Linked DNA regions of Arabidopsis thaliana. The protein of the gene in region 1 interacts with the protein of each later gene in a pairwise test. Each region holds a gene or a part of one and is shown in the gene's direction. Other genes may lie near its edges.

Region 1 (3,758 bases):
ACCATGGGGAGAACTTGTTGGCTTCGTCTGATTTCTATGGTGTTGTCATTGTATGGAAAAGAGCAAAGACAAGCTCATAAGGTTTGTCTATAATATTATAAATGAATCTAAATCCGTCATTTTTGCCACAAAGGCTTTGGGTTTGGCATCATCTCTGTATCGCTAATCTCAAAACTGTGTCAATTTAGTTTCCCATCTCTTATAAAGATATAGTTCTGTGACACTCCTATGCACAGATTCAATAGCTTAAATGGTTGGAACAGACACGTCCTTAATGAGTTAATAACTCTTTCCATAGATAAGTTGGTAGACAATTTGAAGAGATCAAGTTAATTGTACTCGCAATGTTTTTTGTTTTGTCACATTATCATGAACCAGATTAATTATCAGTAAAATTAATGAAGATTACATAAACAACATTCCATTGTAGTCTAGTTGGTCAAGATACTCAGCTCTCACCCAAGAGACCCAGGTTCAACAAGTTCCGGCAAGCTGGTTCATCTAATTCTTCAGGGGACCAAATGGAATATGATACTTGGTTCTCTTAGAGAAATGTGGCTCTAGGATTATATTGAATTCAAATTATGTAACTGATGAGCATTTGGTGCTTATATTAGTGTGGAAGTGGTTGGACTAGATAATCATGCTAATAATTAAACGTATTTCAACCAGCAAAAAGAATCCGAGTGTTTTGTGTATTAATTCTTTTACTAAAAGCAATAGAATCTCAACTTCAACGTAAGTAGGGCACTAATAAAAACTTAACATTTACAATTCTCTTATTTCCCAAGCAAATATCTTCGGCGTCATGTTCATATTGGATTAATAATAATAAGAAGAAGGGTTGGTTGGTCGTCGTATATTATGAAGACACTCTTCCCTATCCACTGACTCTATCTGTCCATTGTCCAGGTCTCTCTCTCTCTTTCTCCTTCTGCCATCTCTGTCCCAATTCAGACTTCTTTCTCTTCGCTACCCATCATTTCACGTTCTTCACTTATCCACCCCAATTTACTATTTTTATTTTCTTTTCAAGTTTTTATTCTCATATTTTGAAGTGTAAATTTAAATAAAATGCTTACCTATGTTTTCCCACAAAATTAACTCTTGTGTATTTCGTAATTTTTTTTTTCATAGAAAATAACTAAATCACTTAATTCACAAAAAGTCTATTTTGGTCTCTCCATGCAAAAACTATAACCTTTCAGTGTGTTGGTAAGAAAAGGTGGTACCACCATTTTCTATCACACTAAGATATCTCACCACACATTTTAATTTGACTTACCTCTTACCACCATTTCGTACCACCTTATACTACAAATCAGACTTATTATAAAATGTCTTGGAGTTGGGATTTTCTCAATTTGTTTCTGATTCGTAATCGTAAAGTCCTCCATGACAAGATATGGACCTACACTTAGTGAAAAGAAAGTAAAAGTTAGAAAATTTGTAGAAATACCTAAAATCTGTGGGCACAAAAAGACAAAGCTAAGTGGGGAAAAAGGCCACTTATTCATTATTTATGAGAAAGAGATAAGAATATGAAGTGTTTTTTTTTTGTTTATTCCTTGCAAAAATAGTTGTATGCAAATGCAACTATATAGTAAATAGCATGTGGACCATCACAGATATTATTCGAAAGAACAAAAAAAAATCAAATGTTGAAACTTGAAAGTGAAATTTAAAGACAAAGAAGAAGAAACTGTAAAAAGCTTACCAAAAAAGTGAAATTATTTTATTGAAAAGAAGTTGAAAAAAAACATCCGTGTGTAAACTTTGACACGTCGTTACCCAAATTATTCCCCACTCTAATAAAGATGGACTAGTCTACACAAAAATTAATATTATCTTTGATTACAAATCGGACATGAAATATTTAAAAAATTGCATAGCACCAAAATTAGATATGAAAAACGTTCATTATATATTTGTCTTATTCTCCAAATATGCTTGATAAACACATTATTATAGAAGAATTACGAAAATATCTTTTACTATTGACACCAATCAGGAATATATCAAATATTTTTAGATAAGAATATAAAAAACACAGAAAATGATTGTATGGTGGTTATAGCTTCATTCAATTTTATTGCAGCAAACAAACAGAAAGGCCAGAGAGACGAAAGAGAGAGGCATTAGGGTTTAGGATTAGGTTTTAGAAAAGGGTTTAGATCTCTACCAACTGGTTTGTTAAGAACATAATCTCCTTACCACATTTTTACTCTTGAAAACATTTTGATCTGTTTTTGTTATCTTCACCAAAAGACTTGACTCCAAGAAACAAGAAGAAGAATCAAGAAGCAAGTTCAAGAACCAGCTTTTAATGAAATCTCTACTTCAAAAAGGAAACTTGCTTTAAGGAGGATGGATCTTTTGTTTTCTTGAATCTTTTGTGTGGGTAAAACATTTTGTATTATCAAGATTTTGATTTGAGGAGATAAAGAGTTTGTTGTTAAGTTTGTGTTCTTGGGATCATCAAGAGTTAAAACAAAAAAAAAAAAACATTTCTTTTTTCCTTCTTCAATTTGAGATTTAGTGTCTCCTTTAACACCCACAAAGCCAGCAGATGCTTTCCTGGTAATTCTTTAATCTATCCTTTCTTCTTCTTTTTAAATTCTTAAATTCATGCAGAGAGATAATTCTCATAATTTTCATTGGTTCAATTTCTTAAAATTTGCTTAATTAAGATTTTATTACATAATGTGAAGTATAAAAAGGGTTTAGTGTTGTTTGTGTTTGATTCTGAAACAGATGACTCCTTGTTTGATCTGATCATAAGAAGAAGAAGACTATGGCCACTTATTACAAAACTGGCTCAAGTGAGATTTATTCCAGACCAGAATTTGTCCCTGGAAACGCAATGAACTACACAAATTCTTTCACAGAGACATTTCCTAGAGATTCAACTAATAATGTGTCACCTTCAAAAGAGATTCAAGTGTTGTCAAGCCTTGGTGGAGTTTCACAAATGGTTGAGATTCAAGATTCTGGTTCTTGGAGAGATCAAGAAGACAATGACAGGAATCGCTTCCCGGTGATGAGGCGTCTTGGCCTCAGCTCGCAGATTGAGACATCGAGAGGCAATAATAACAATGAGTATGCAACACAGGTTGTTTCGGGATTTACTCGAACCATTCACAACTCAAAGTATCTCAAAGCTGCTCAAGAGCTTCTTGATGAAACTGTTAATGTTAAGAAAGCTCTAAAGCAGTTTCAGCCAGAGGGAGATAAGATTAATGAAGTGAAAGAGAAGAATCTTCAGACGAATACTGCTGAAATCCCTCAAGCAGAGAGGCAAGAATTGCAGAGCAAGTTGTCGAAACTTTTATCGATATTAGACGAGGTAATCCGCCTTACAACATATCTTCTACACTTGTTAATGATTCTCGTGGTAACATAAATGTTGTTTGTTTCTTTGTTGTTTGAAGGTGGATAGAAATTACAAGCAGTATTACCATCAGATGCAGATAGTCGTGTCGTCTTTCGATGTAATAGCCGGATGTGGAGCAGCCAAACCATACACAGCCCTTGCGCTTCAGACCATCTCGAGGCATTTCCGTTGCTTAAGGGATGCGATATCCGGACAAATCTTGGTGATAAGGAAAAGTTTAGGAGGGGAACAGGATGGATCAGATGGGAGAGGAGTGGGGATAAGCAGGTTAAGGAATGTTGATCAACAGGTAAGGCAACAAAGAGCGTTGCAGCGGTTAGGTGTGATGCAACCTCACACTTGGCGGCCTCAACGCGGTTTACCA
Region 2 (3,758 bases), on another chromosome or scaffold:
TAGACTCGTAGTTAGAGATTATTTAATCTTCCCTATTCAATGCCAAAAGTCTAGAAGAGCAAAACAAAAGGGAGAAACTCTTTTATTTCAGGCCCAATGACACAAAGCTGGCCAGAAACAGTTTAAGATTAGGCTAAAGTTATAAGTCCGACAAGCACGAGTGCTAATATATATAGTTATATGACGTCTCACCATTAAGGGTTTAATAAATTTTGAAACACCTCAAATTAAGATTGCTTCCCATGCAAACTTCCTTCATCTTCTAGAAAAATTACGATTTGTAATACTTCAATTATATCATTTTAGTTTTTTGTCACTAATTATCATCAATTTATCATAGCTCCGTGCCGCAACAACGTTCGTTTTAATCAGATTATATATTACTCTGCTATAAACTCAGAACCATGTTAGAAAAATGAAAAAGACATTTCAGAATATTCATTAACTCAAAATTTTAATCTCATGATTTAATTTTTTATTAACAATGTTATCCTATAGCACATGGCAAATTTGAACGGCCCTTGCGTATTAATCTATTATAATCTCAAAACCATGTGTAAGAAAAAGGAAATTCAGAAAATAACCTTTTGTAAATAGGCCCCCACAAAATCTACAACATACGTAGATACCTCCTCGCTTACAGTTGTAAACAACTGTTCATCTAGATTCATGCCGTCATTCAAGTTTAAATTAATACAATAATTTAAAATTTTAATTTGGATGAATCGAATCCACCGTCGTTTCCTGAATACCAGATAGGTTAACTTTATGATTAGTTCGAGTGAACCACATGCACAATATTCGAATCTTAGACATTCGTTGCAATGTTAACTTCACATATATTTGATAAACGCTTCTTGAATCAGATCTTAATCTCTTTCTTTCTCTCCATCTTCTAAGGAGGTTGTGGATTATCATGTAGTATATCATTATCTTCGCATCACCTTCAACAAGAACAAGCTACGAGCTTTAAAGTCGTATTTAACACAATAATGTATAAAGTCTTTCTTCATCACATCACATACATTTTTTGTTGCCATCACCCTTCATTCACTTTTTTTGTTAACACTATTCGTTTCTATATAAAATAAAAATAAAATGAGGAATGTCTTGTCCATAGAGATTTTTAAGGTCGAGGGTCATCGGAGCGATGTGGGCTTGCTTCCTACATTATAGTTGATATGTGGATCCCGCGTGGACCATATTTTTACCCAATAGCTACGTGCATGGTCCCACCGCTCTCTCTCACGCACTATTCCGAAATTGCCATAAACAATTTCACCGGACAAAAAGAGCAAATAATTTCGATGTTTAATAAAGAGACCATTAGTATATTTGACCCAAAAAAAAATAAAAAAAAAAGAGAGACATTACTATAACTTTTATTAGATGAAATATTGCAACATTGTATTTATAACGGATCTAATTTACTGAATCATATTTTTTTTCTTTGTTAAAGAGATACTGAATCATGCAGAAAAATAGATAGATTTTTAAATACTAGGTGAACTCATGACGAATCAACCATTACGAGAGATTTCTGGATAAAAGCAAAAACAAAACAAAACTAACATGCTAATCTAGGCAATTAGTAGAGCGAAAAGTCGGCAAAACCAAAGGCCGAAGAAGCTTGATCGATATACTTTTTTTTTTTTGTTTTGGCTGGATATACTTGGTATGAACTAAGAATTAAGTAAAAACTCATAGGGAGTAATTTTTCGAGAAGTGCATTCACTATGAGTATAAAACAGACATTTTCAAATTATTAAAACAAGCTCTTAGAGGCTCATATGTTTAATTGTAAGTGGCGGCTCATGCGAACTTATAATGAAAACATCAAATATTCGGAAAAATAATACTCCACTGTTAAAAAGAAAACTTAACAAAGGAATTAAAAATATGAGAGCAAAAGAACACATGCATTTTCTCATGCATGTACTATTATTTATTTTTTTGCAGAGTTGATGTAAAAAATATACACATATATATAGACATACTTTGGTTAGTTATAAACTCGTTCTATTTTCTTCTCCTTTTTCTATCTTTAGCAATGAACATATCAGTAAACGGACAGTCACAAGTACCTCCTGGCTTTAGGTTTCACCCAACCGAGGAAGAGCTCTTGAAGTATTACCTCCGCAAGAAAATCTCTAACATCAAGATCGATCTCGATGTTATTCCTGACATTGATCTCAACAAGCTCGAGCCTTGGGATATTCAAGGTTCATCATTTATCTTTTATTCTTGATGAAACGTATTAATAGGGCTTGTATATATTAATTAAATTAGTTTTTTAATGCATGTGTTGAGTCAAGAACTAAAGCTCTGAATTCAGGAAATTTTGCAGAGTAATATATACTTTTTGTGATAATAAAATTTGCAGTAACAAAATTCAGTCAAAACTTAACACAACTCTTGTTTTTTCTATGTAGAGATGTGTAAGATTGGAACGACGCCGCAAAACGATTGGTACTTTTATAGCCATAAGGACAAGAAGTATCCCACCGGGACTAGAACCAACAGAGCCACCACGGTCGGATTTTGGAAAGCGACGGGACGTGACAAGACCATATATACCAATGGTGATAGAATCGGGATGCGAAAGACGCTTGTCTTCTACAAAGGTCGAGCCCCTCATGGTCAGAAATCCGATTGGATCATGCACGAATATAGACTCGACGAGAGTGTATTAATCTCCTCGTGTGGCGATCATGACGTCAACGTAGAAACGTGTGATGTCATAGGAAGTGACGAAGGATGGGTGGTGTGTCGTGTTTTCAAGAAAAATAACCTTTGCAAAAACATGATTAGTAGTAGCCCGGCGAGTTCGGTGAAAACGCCGTCGTTCAATGAGGAGACTATCGAGCAACTTCTCGAAGTTATGGGGCAATCTTGTAAAGGAGAGATAGTTTTAGACCCTTTCTTAAAACTCCCTAACCTCGAATGCCATAACAACACCACCATCACGAGTTATCAGTGGTTAATCGACGACCAAGTCAACAACTGCCACGTCAGCAAAGTTATGGATCCCAGCTTCATCACTAGCTGGGCCGCTTTGGATCGGCTCGTTGCCTCACAGTTAAATGGGCCCAACTCGTATTCAATACCAGCCGTTAATGAGACTTCACAATCACCGTATCATGGACTGAACCGGTCCGGTTGTAATACCGGTTTAACACCAGATTACTATATACCGGAGATTGATTTATGGAACGAGGCAGATTTCGCGAGAACGACATGCCACTTGTTGAACGGTAGTGGATAACGGAAATGGAAGAGAGGAAGTGACTAAGTGAGTGACATACCAAAACATTGTGTAGAAAGATATAATAATCATCATACCATATATATAGTTGTTGAAACTTTTACGGTATAAATGGTCAGATTGTGATAATTACAGTACGTAGTTATGTGATATCATTACAGAAAATAAAAGTTCTCTATATCTGTGTACATTTTATATCATGATTAACTTTATAGAAAAGAATTGGTTGCATAGTTGAATTTCTTTGGATCAAGAATATTAGTTTTTGTCTTTTTGAAACTTAATTGCCATTCGATGAACAAAAAGGCAATTACATTTTCTACTGTAAGAAATCATAGTCTGTCACATGCATCGCCGGGTGTTTTCTAATTACAATTATATGAAAAAAGGATTTTGACCAAAAGTTGATTATGATTTCAAGAGAGACAAAAGACCAAAATGATAATTAATTCGTCGACAAATTAACTTTAGGAACAGATGATTTCCATTACGT

Evidence for each region. The genes of interacting proteins can lie anywhere in the genome.
Region 2: the proteins of BLH7 (region 1) and NAC066 interact in a two-hybrid assay, tested with the Arabidopsis thaliana proteins (one large-scale study listed by BioGRID).

What each region holds. Positions count from the first base shown.
Region 1 is NC_003071.7:7,102,237-7,105,994, reverse strand, and holds the start of BLH7 (BEL1-like homeodomain 7), read left to right. Parts: upstream 1-2,066; 5' UTR 2,067-2,580; intron 2,581-2,754; 5' UTR 2,755-2,794; coding exon 2,795-3,346; intron 3,347-3,431; coding exon 3,432-3,758. Other genes in the region: AT2G16405 (Transducin/WD40 repeat-like superfamily protein), read left to right, coding at 1-80.
Region 2 is NC_003074.8:22,928,700-22,932,457, reverse strand, and holds NAC066 (NAC domain protein 66), read left to right. Parts: upstream 1-2,001; 5' UTR 2,002-2,050; coding exon 2,051-2,222; intron 2,223-2,432; coding exon 2,433-3,265; 3' UTR 3,266-3,452; downstream 3,453-3,758. UniProt on the Arabidopsis thaliana protein: Transcription activator of genes involved in biosynthesis of secondary walls. Together with NST1, required for the secondary cell wall thickening of the anther endocethium, which is necessary for anther dehiscence.